Caenorhabditis elegans: one gene and its partners. The protein of the gene in region 1 purifies or fractionates together with the protein of each later gene. This does not show direct contact. Each region holds a gene or a part of one and is shown in the gene's direction. Other genes may lie near its edges.

The links. Proteins that work in one complex are often made in the same cells at the same time.
Region 2: the proteins of pid-1 (region 1) and egc-2 purify together in Caenorhabditis elegans (affinity purification with mass spectrometry, with the first as the bait; one large-scale study listed by BioGRID). This does not show direct contact.
Region 3: the proteins of pid-1 (region 1) and erh-1 purify together in Caenorhabditis elegans (affinity purification with mass spectrometry, with the first as the bait; one large-scale study listed by BioGRID). This does not show direct contact.

Annotation. Positions count from the first base shown.
Region 1 is NC_003280.10:7,688,635-7,693,085, reverse strand, and holds pid-1 (Protein pid-1), read left to right. Parts: upstream 1-2,529; 5' UTR 2,530-2,582; coding exon 2,583-2,636; intron 2,637-2,686; coding exon 2,687-2,797; intron 2,798-2,843; coding exon 2,844-2,956; intron 2,957-3,001; coding exon 3,002-3,068; intron 3,069-3,115; coding exon 3,116-3,280; 3' UTR 3,281-3,396; downstream 3,397-4,451. Other genes in the region: nhx-2 (Na(+)/H(+) exchanger protein 2), read left to right, coding at 155-288, 337-662, 890-1,163, 1,215-1,358, 1,533-1,622, 1,666-1,833, 1,881-1,990, 2,038-2,266; F18A1.1 (Receptor L-domain domain-containing protein), read right to left, coding at 3,397-4,430. UniProt on the Caenorhabditis elegans protein: Component of the pid-1 variant of the PETISCO complex which is required for the biogenesis of a class of 21 nucleotide PIWI-interacting RNAs (piRNAs) that possess a uracil residue at the 5'-end (also called 21U-RNAs).
Region 2 is NC_003282.8:8,900,075-8,903,677, forward strand, and holds egc-2 (CCHC-type domain-containing protein), read left to right. Parts: upstream 1-1,571; 5' UTR 1,572-1,586; coding exon 1,587-1,643; intron 1,644-1,689; coding exon 1,690-2,311; intron 2,312-2,358; coding exon 2,359-2,676; intron 2,677-2,722; coding exon 2,723-2,886; 3' UTR 2,887-3,103; downstream 3,104-3,603. Other genes in the region: rad-54.L2 (Helicase ARIP4), read left to right, coding at 1-648, 692-841, 888-973; Putative serine/threonine-protein phosphatase C27B7.6, read right to left, coding at 3,173-3,326.
Region 3 is NC_003283.11:10,577,927-10,580,651, reverse strand, and holds erh-1 (Enhancer of rudimentary homolog), read left to right. Parts: upstream 1-1,510; 5' UTR 1,511-1,625; coding exon 1,626-1,716; intron 1,717-1,787; coding exon 1,788-1,918; intron 1,919-1,963; coding exon 1,964-2,053; 3' UTR 2,054-2,225; downstream 2,226-2,725. Other genes in the region: lpd-9 (LiPid Depleted), read right to left, coding at 100-291, 713-845, 1,260-1,330; mics-1 (PDZ domain-containing protein), read left to right, coding at 2,331-2,394, 2,443-2,622, 2,668-2,725. UniProt on the Caenorhabditis elegans protein: May have a role in the cell cycle.

The DNA of each region.
Region 1 (4,451 bases):
GTAGCTTGTAACTTCAAAAATAGTAACCTCAAAGGACATTAGCAATTTTAGTGATAAGATAACAATTTGAAATAGTCTAGAAAAGTTTTGAATATCTTTGAAACCGTTATGCCTAGTTAAAGATAAATTTGGAAATAAATCTAATAATTTACAGCTCTCTCCTTATGGGCCATCAGTTTGACTGGATTATTCTCAGTTGAAACTCCACTTATGCATATGCTTCTCTTCGGTTCAGTTGCTGCTGATGTAGATCCAGTTGCTGTAATTGTCATTTTCGAGGAATTGAAAGTGAGACAGTCTCCCAAATTTCTCTGATAACAAAGTCAAAGTTTACAGGTCAACGAAGTTCTTTTTATTGCCGTGTTCGGAGAATCTCTATTGAACGACGGAGTTGCTGTTGTACTTTATCGAATGTTCTTGACCTTCTCTGAAATTGGAACTGAGAATCTGATAACATCTGATTATATCAATGGAGGTGTTTCTTTCCTGGTTGTTGCATTTGGTGGAATTGGAATTGGTCTTCTTTTTGCATTTTTGACAAGTCTTGTTACAAGATTTGCTAGAGATGAAGAGGTCAAAGTGCTCAATTCTGTATTTATTCTCATTCTTCCGTACACTTGTTATCTTTGTGGAGAACTTTTCGGTCTTTCAAGTATTATGGCGTAAGTTAATTTATTTCAGAATTTCTTTTTTATATTGAAACTTTAGCCCTACTCATATTTTCATATTAAATTTTGTATTAAAAATCGGAATTTTAAAATGTAAACTTAAGGTCTAGAGATTGAAGATACTAATATGAAAAGTTTTGGCAAAAACCGTAATTCTCTTCCAGAGCTGTAAAACTGAAACAAAATATAACTAGAACTAATTTTCAATAAAATTTTTGCAGAATTGTATTTTGTGGTGCTGCCATGCGTCAGTACTGCCGTGAAAATGTGGACCCAGACACGGTAAAAGCCACAGAATCATTCATCAAAGTGCTTTCTCTTGCATCGGAAACAGTTATCTTTGTCTTTTTGGGACTCTCAACAGTATCCTCAAACCATCACTGGGACACATCTTTCATCGTTCTTACTGTAGTTTTCTGCTTGATCTACCGTACCCTTGGAGTTGTTGTTATGTGCTATTTCTTGAATAAGTATCGTCTGAATAAGTACACAAAGGTGAGAATTAATTTGTGTTATTTGATAAAAAAAAGTATATGTTTCATACAGGTAGACCAATTTATCATGGCTTATGGAGGTCTTCGTGGTGCCATTGCATACGGTCTTGTCGTTGCAATTCCAGATTTTATACCCGGAAAGAATATGTTTGTCACCAGTTGTATCATTGTCATCTACTTCACTGTATTCCTCCAGGTATCTTTTTAAACAATCTAGCTATATTTTATACCCGTGATGTTTTTAAAAAACATACCTTACTATTACTTTTCAGCATTTCATTTACATAGCCTTCTAATGTGCCTAGTTAAATTTTGAAAAAAAATCTGGATTATTTCCAATACTTCTAAAATAGATTTTTAACATTTTCAGGGAATTACACTGAAACCAATTGCCGAATTCCTACAAGTTGAGAAAAAGAATGTTCACTCAAAGAACATGATTGAGCATATTTACAGCGAAGTGAGTTTTCAGAACCAAAATTCCAGTGAAATGAAAATTATAGCTTATCGACACGACTATGGCTGGAATGGAAGACATTGCCGGTTTCAAGGGGCATCATTGGATTCGTGATTCGTGGAATGCACTCAACAATAATTATTTGAGACCAATTTTAGTTAATAAGAACAATATGAAGGAGATGGATAAGACTAAATTGGTCAGAAAGTACAAGGTATGGTAATACGCTTAATGATATTGTTATTCATAATTAATTTACAGCATTTGGTTGATGAAGATGCAAAGAAGATTGCACGTGGAGATTTAAATAGTAATATGGTATTTACAAAAGCTCTTATTGAACATACAAGAAGTCGAACAAATACAATGATGTAAGTTTCTTCAAACTTCTGAAATCAATTATTCCAAATACTTTCAGCGATGGAGTAAGTTCGACTAGTAAAATAGATTTCACCAAACACATGAAAGAGAATTTTGGAGTAACAGTCTATGATGATCATAGTACTGTACCTATGACACCAACTCATTTATTCCAAGAAACAACTGAAGTTGAATATTCGGTTCGGAGCGAAATCAACGACAATGATGGATTTGAAAACGATGGGTATGAATCGGACGAATCAGGAAGCTTCCACGAAAGAGTATAGGTTTTTTACCTTAATTTACAATTTCTTTCTGTTTTAAACTAGTCTCAAATAGGTAGACTGTGTTTTCTCAATAATGTACATTCATCGAATGAAATTTCTTTTTTTTCTGCATCTATATTCTCATATATTTTGTTAACGTTAATTAACAAGCTAAAAAAAAAGATTTTTACAAGTTTTTTAATTGCGCGCTACCGTAACAAGTTTTTTCGCTTCGAGACCCATGCCTTCAAAATGGACATGTGTCTTTAAAACTTACAGTAACGGTGTTAAAATTATTGCACACAATTTCTTCGGCTGACATTCGAATTTTCCAATTATGTCGGCTAAAAGGGAGTTTTCGCATATTACTTTGGCATCCACACCATTTAAAGTGAGTTTTATCATTTTTTCAGAATTAATAACAATAAAACTTTTTTTCAGAAAAGAATCGATCAGAATTCGTTAAAAACCGACTCGGATATTGAAAAAGACACAAATATCGCACACAAATGCGCTGAACGGTTCAACTACAATACAAATCTTCACAGAAAAGTAATAATCTATTAATGTTGATGACGAAAGCTTTTTTTAATTTTAGGTGACGTTGAGCGATCGTTTCGAGTTGGCAGCCCTTGGATACGAAATGAAAGCAAAGCCGAGAACAATCATCGAAAAACATAATGACTGCGACGAGTTTCATTTTATCTATAGGTTTGTGAAGTACCCACATATTATAACAAATGTTTTAATTTTCAGAAAAGAAAAGAAGAATGATTATGGAACTGGCTCACCACTTTCAGCCGGATTGAGCCTATCTAATCCGGTAAGAAATAAATATTAAATTCACGCATAAAATTATATCATTTTCAGTTGCCAGCTGGACGTGGATTCCTCTCTCCAGCGATTCAGAATACCAGCAACCAGTTCACCTTTTCTGGAAGTCCAAGAATTACCCCCCAGAAGCACACCCCAGTATCGGCCAATCACAAGCCAGCCAGATCCATTTTCGACGACATTCCTTCGAATATTGCATAAGTTTTCACTGTTAATTTACTGTTTTTACTGTTTCATCTTGTTTTGAGTTTATAAAAATGATGTTTCGTTGAATTCAAAAATTTTATAAATTACATTTTAAAAATAACGACATAAAGTTAAAGTTCTCGATCTTCAGTTCCACTCTCATCCGAAGACCTCCAGTTCATCGTTTCTATTTTCACTTTCACAAACATTTCCGAGTTATCAACACCAGCATTCAGTCTATAATCTTCTTCTAGATTAACTGGCTTATCGTAGATGTTAAAGCTTTTTCCTTTTCCATATGTCGTGATCGCCGTCTCTCGTAATTGTTGTTTCCTTTTAGCCCAGGCAATCCACTTCTCCTTTTCACGTTCACTCAAATGATTTTCCAGTTGAACCAGAAGCTCTTCGAATTTGTTCGTGTCCGTGATAATTTCGTTCGGCTCAATAATTTTCCTTTTCTCCATTATTTCCAAAATCATCAGAATTCGATCTTCTTCGTCACCTTCTGCATCGTCAATTATTTCTTTGATCGCTTTATGAACTGCTTCAAAATACTCCAATTCTCGTTCATCAGCTTTTCTTGCCTCAAGTGCCATGTTCTTCGTTCTTCCTTTCCATTTTGTTTCTCCTAAACCAGTCAGTACTGCAATCGGAAGACCTTCTTTTTCATATTTTCCTTGATCTTCATTCATCTCTTTTGCATTCTTTCTTGACTCTTTTCTTCTCAACCAACTTTGTCCTGAGAACTCACTATCCGATTCGTTCTTTTGAATGGATCTCGTCAATGCTCCAAGCTTCCGTCTCCAATTAATTGTTTTTCGATTTGCTCGGTATTCTTTCATTTCCTTTTTCCTTTTTTCTCCCATCACATCCCGTCCATCCAGACGATTTTTAACCAGAATTCTCCTCTTCCACGTCATCACATCAGGTTCTTCATCTGAAGATTTTTCGTCCAAATAAGCTGTTGGGTCAGTTTTGAGATGAATGTCCAATTCTTTTATTTTTCTCCATCGAGTGAAATTCAGGGATTTCAGGAAGATGATCACAACATCTATCATCACATAGCAAACAAATATCAAAATTGACGCCAATACACAGAGGCTCACAATTATTTCCACGAATGTGCATTTTTCTTCGTATTCTTCAAATAAAGTGTCCATTTCAACTGAAACGAATAACCTATTCA
Region 2 (3,603 bases), on another chromosome or scaffold:
TTCTAGACTCAATCACTAAGAGAATGAGTCAAATGTTTGCCGGGAAACCGTTCCTTCATGAAACCTTGATAATGGAGTCAGAGCAATCACTCAGCGAGCAGGAAAAACGAGAAGCTCAATTACTTTTTGATAGAGAACGACGTATGGAGAACTATGATCCATTGAGTGGCCTGAGCAGTTCTAACTTTTATAACAATGCTCCTGGAAGCTCAATGGGAATGATGGGTCCACCACCAGTTCCGATGTTCAATAATAACATGCAAAATAGTTTCAATAATCATTGGCAACAATCTCCTAATCAGCTTGCACCCAATTTTGGATCTTATCCACCACAGCAATTTCCACAACCGATGCCAAACATGTCACAATTTCCACCTCATGGACCATCACCTCAAATTCCATCAATTCGTCCATCACCAATGCCTCACACGCTTCGAATGAATGTCAGTCAATTCCATCACCAAGGAGGTGGTCATACGATGACGTCATTCAACAATGGCTATCCGAATAATAACAATGGAGGAGCTATAGGAAACCCTCAACAAATGCTTCCTCCAAGAGATCCATCAGCTTTTCCGGGAGCTGTTATGAGCAAAATACCATCATTTTCCCCGGCTGGAGCAGTTCAACAATTGATTACTGATAGACGTGAGTTTGACGTTTAAGTTTTTTTGAAAATTCAAATTTTTAGAACTCGTTTTTCCCATTGTCGGACATAGAGATCAGCTTCATCAGGTTCAGGCAAATACACCAATACAGTTAGTTGTTCCGAAAAATGGATATTATGTGAAACTACGTGATGGAACAATTCTTGACGCTGTCGGAAGTGTTTTTGAGAATCGTTAGTTTACTAGAAAAAATTTCGTATAATTTTTTAAAATTTATAGATGCCCGTCAGCTTCGTGATATGTATCTAAGCAAAAATTTCAACCATGATCCGCAGCAGGTTCAAGAAGTCATCGATCTTGATTAACAACGTCTTGCATTTTTTTCTTTTGATGTACATTTCGTTTTTTATCATATAAAATACAACATCTATCTCAATGCAACATCCAATGAGATCTCTGATAATTCACTATCATTTTACTCAATTATTTTTCCTCTTATAGAGGCTCCTAAATTAATTTTAGGCAAGTTTCGAATTTCCACATTTCAACTTTGTCCACACTCTTCCCTTTTATCATTAGTATGTCAATTAATTAAATTTTTCTGTTTTTTCCAACACAGTAATCAGCTCCGCTGTTCGGCAAGCTGCCAATTGTGTTTTATACGCCTTCTCTTTTAATTTAATGAATAAATACGAATAATATTTAAATTATCGGATTCGCTTGAAAGAGAAATTGGAATAACATTTTTCCGCAGATCCCCGTTTTGTAGTGCCTCTTAATAACGCGTTTTTAAATACTGACTTGGTTACTGTAGGTTTTGGTCCCGACACGAAATTCTGAACTCGTTCGGCACGTTTCTTCAATTTTCTTCATTTCTCTCACCCATTTCTGATGAATTAATGGTTTTTAGATTAATTTTTAAATATTCAGCGTTCTGCCAGTTTCTCAAAATAATTTTTTTAGACATTTCGGTCGGATATGTCGGAATTGTCGAGTGAAATGAAGTCAATGGAAAACGGAATGTCGGCGAGAACGGTATTTTTTATCAAATTAATGACAATTTGTAAACTATTCATTTCAGGACAGACAACATTATCTTGAGAGAGCTCAATACTCTCCATGGCCAAAAACTCAAAATAGTGGAGCATTCGGAGCGCTAACTGATCAACCGAGAAAGTATCGAGGAGGATTTGGAGGAGGTGAAGGCTTCTCTGATTTTGGATCCGTTAGTGGACTTGGCGGTAGAATCCCCAGAAACTCCTCTCACCTAAACGACAGTTCTGGATTTGGTTCCGTACGAGGAGGGTACAGCAGTTATCGAGAAAGCAGATCATCTCGTGTTGCTGTTTCGGATGCTCTTTACATGAATAATGAACGTTGCGTGACACCTCTGCCATCTGAGAATATAATGGGTAGTCCACGGCGTGGATCTTTCCGAAGTTCGCCCCGATCCGATGGTATGGGATCTTCATCGAAGAGACCACGCTCTGGCCGCCGAACCGGTAGACGTGGGCGAGGTGGGCCAGGCCACTGCTTCCATTGTCAAGAGCATGGACACATTTCGAGAATGTGCCCGAAGAAGGTTGGAGAAACGGATGAACACGGAGATGGAAAAGATATCGAAGTGGAACCATTTGAGACGAAAGATTTACTCCAAGAAGACGCATCAAGATACTCTTCTAATATGAAGGCTTTGCATGGAGGTTATTGTTTGAATACTAGGAAAACGTAACAATTTTTATGTTTTCAGGTGGACTGTATCAAAGCAAGTTGGACAATCAAAAGGCCCGTGAGTCTTATTATGGAGGGTACGGCTACAGCATCAACAGTCTCACCCCAAGAAGTGTTGGCAGCGTGAGAAGTGGTTTCACAGCACCAATGATGTCGCCCGAAATTGACAAATTCTCAGAGCAGTTGGACAATGCTTTGAAGCTCAGCAATGTCGAGCCGGTAGCTCCGTCGCCATACGTGATGACTATCACTGGAAAAGGGCCAGCTGAAAAATTGATGAAAGAAGTGCCACCAGTTGCTCCAATCAACACTCTACAGAGCAGAGAAGGAGCCAAACGTGAGATTATCAAAATTCTATAATTGTATAATGTTCATTATTACAGAAATTTCTACGGAGACTTTGTCAATCGAGACACGCAGAACTGTGATGCGCGATGGAGAATTCCACTTCGAGGAGACGACTATCATCAATTTCCCACGAGTTCTTCCGCCCAACGTCCGTGTCATCGCTGCCCAGTTCGTGCCGGTCGCTTCACAAAATTCATAATTTCTGATAATTATGATGCTATCAAGGAAAATGTTTAATAATTACTATTGGGAACTCTGCCCAATTTGCAGCGTATTTTTACTGTTTTTCATTGTTGTTCCATTTATTGACTTCTAGGTATTGTTTTTTACGTTCTGGAATTGTTTCTGTCCTAAATTTGAAAACTTGTATTTTTGATTTGAGTCTTCAACCTCATTTCATAAAAGTGTTTCATGTTACTCTCGTTTCATAATTATACACACTCAAACTTGAACATTTTCTACAGTATACTTCATTCAAAGGAAATCTACGCATTTTCAGTAGAACTCGGAGGCGATCGTGGAATTGGCGGAGATTGGGCGAGTGGAGCGTCCGGAGATGGAGTTCTTGGCGGAGGCGGCGTCGTACTAGTAGTCATTCCCAATTTTTTGCGGATTGATTCAAGAGACATGACTTTATCTCTGGAAATATTGTAAACATGAAAAAACTTCTTCGCATATAAAAAACCAGCCGTGGACCGCACCTTCGGCGCGGCCCCCGACTTCTGGGGCTGAAAATTAATTTTTTATGAAACTACCGTAACCCTACAGTATTCCTACCGTACCACTATTGTACCACTACAGTACCCCAACTATATCCCTACACTAACCCTAACTCACTATCCCTCCAGAAGCCAAAACTTCACAGACTACAAAGGCTACATAGACTACAAACTATGGACACACAGAATAAGCGCTT
Region 3 (2,725 bases), on another chromosome or scaffold:
AAATCTTTTTGTGATAATGATAATGATTACAAATACACTAAAATGGGCTCTTTCTTCCTATGCAAAAAGAAGACGTTCGGACGGTGGTGAATCAGAAATTTAGTCATGGGCATCGTCGTGACCGTGATGTCCGTGATTACGGTACTTGTACTTGAGTCGCTGCTCTTCTGGAACGGCAAAATCGTAGACAACAGTTCCGGCTTTGATGATTCCGAAAAGAAGAGCCAATCGCCACACAATTTTCAAATATTGACCATATGGAGATTGACGGAAGAAGTCGGGGTCTTTGTTCTGAAATAAAACAATACAAATCGCATTGCGTTTTATTTTATGCTGTCACTTTTTAAAAATTGAACGTTTTCTTGTTTAAAATTTTTTTAATTACTTATGCATGAGAAAATTGATTTTTTTTGTAGTACTTATGCCATTTCATAACAAAATATATGATTTTGTGAAGAACTTTGAAATTTTTTTAAAAACATTATGGCGGCTTCAAAAGCCAAGTTTTTAGCCTCGCCGGACAGTCCCGACACTATAAATCTATAGCTGTGGAAGCTTTATGATCAAAAAATTAAAAATTCAGTAAACTAAGTACTAAGGTTATCTTATTTTGAAAGCATTGCAATTAATTCTCAAAACAAAAACATATTTTCGAACTATTTTCGAACCGACTGTACTTTCGGGAACATAATTAATTCTTTAAAAAACTCACAATTGCACGATAAGCAGCTGTCGTCTCCTGCTTGGCTTCACCAAACAAAAACATTTTTGGCATGTTGTTCACATTATCCCATTTTCCCTCACTTCCGAGTCTGTTGATTTCTTTCCAGACGGCGTGGGAGTCACTGCAATAATTTGAAAATTTATGATTCAAAAATTCACCAATTTAGGAAACTGTTTTGTATTCGAGGGATAGATATTACAAGCATTGAAAAATCAATTTTGTTCTTTAAGAGATCAACAATTTAATGCATTTTTTAATGCTTTTAAAGGGAGCAAACGCATATTTTTGGATAGATGATTAAATATTTAGTATTTCGGAACAGATTAAATAAGAAAGTGAGCATTTGTTATATTTGTTAAGAATAATCACTTAGTAAACTAATTGCATTACGAATACGAAAAAGCTATTGTTTAAAATAAAATTCCTGGTAAGAACACAGATATTTTCTGAAATATCGAAAATTCCATTGATATCGTTTTTTAACATGATTTCTTGACATCAGATTATTTAGCCTTTAACACTAAAAAAAACTTACTGAGAGTGAGACGATGCTTGTCGAACTGCAATACGTGCAACCTGGCGGCCGGCGTGAGATAAGCCTGACATGGCGAAATCACCTGAAAATAATTTTTAGAATTTGTGTTGAGAAAATGAAAATTTGATAGGAATTGTTCGATTTTCACAATTTATGCAAAAAACCTCAAACAGTATGGAAATTGTTAAATTATAGAAGAAAGAAAAAATAAAAATAAAAATTGCCCGAACACCAAAAGCGCGCCAGTGGACGTCGCTGACGCACTATTCGACGTACTGGCGCACTTCTTGCTAATATTTTTTTTGCGTTGACGTTGCAGATTTACTCCGTTTTTTCCCTTTCAAAAATATTCTCAATTTTTTGAAAATGAGTCACACAATTCTTCTGCTCCAACCGACAGACAACATCGAGTCACGTTCATGGTCGGATTATGAGAATACCACGGAATGTCTTGAAGGTGAGTAACAAAAACCAAATTACATTTTAAAATTAAAAGTTTATAATCAATTAAAAACTTTTAACTTATAGGAATCTGCAGAGTCTACGAAGAATATTTGAAAAAGAAGGTTCCGGCTCAAAACGAAATCACCTATGACATATCGCACCTTTTCGAGTTCATCGACGACCTCAAAGATCTTTCAATGCTGGTTCTCGACAATGTTGGTTTTTAAAACATATTTTAAATATCGGAAAAAAAATTGCAGACAACATACACATATGTCCCCCACAATAAGCAATATGTAAAGGAGAGCATCTACAAATTAATGAACAACAGGCTCAATAATCAGCACTGATTACCATCCATATGGGTTTCTCACTTCTATCTCTTTCCAACGTTCTCTTTTCTCACTTTTTACGGATTCAGTCCTAAGTTTTAAACTCTTTTCCAAAAAATGTGAAAACGAAATTTCATATCCAGTTATACAATTCATCCGCAACCACATGAATAAATATTTTTAAATGGTGTTATTTCTCTACGTTTATAATTACAGCAGTTGTTTTCTGTGTATTATTTATTTCATTTGGAATTAGTGATTTTCGAAATTTACAAAAATCTTCAAATTGTTCAGAATGATGGTGTCTCCTCCGCAAGAGGATACAGTGTTCAATACCGATTCAGATCCAGTTTATGAACGTAAGTATTAAACTATGGAAGGACTCGAGAGTTGGTAAGAATATTCAGATCATGCCGCTCTCGTTTCCTCCCCATTTCACGCTGATGAAGATCATACATTCGATATTTCATTTGCTGCAGAAGCAACGGACGACATGACATTCAATGATACGACTACAGATGGAAATGGACAAGAATCTGTTCCATTGGAGGCATTGACAGTAGTTGAAATAGAAAAAACATCTAAAGGTATAAATTGTATTTTTAAACGTCTATATAGTACTCATTTTACAGGTTTCGGATTCAATATAGTTGGTGGAACAGACAATCCTCACTTTGTTGGAGATATCGG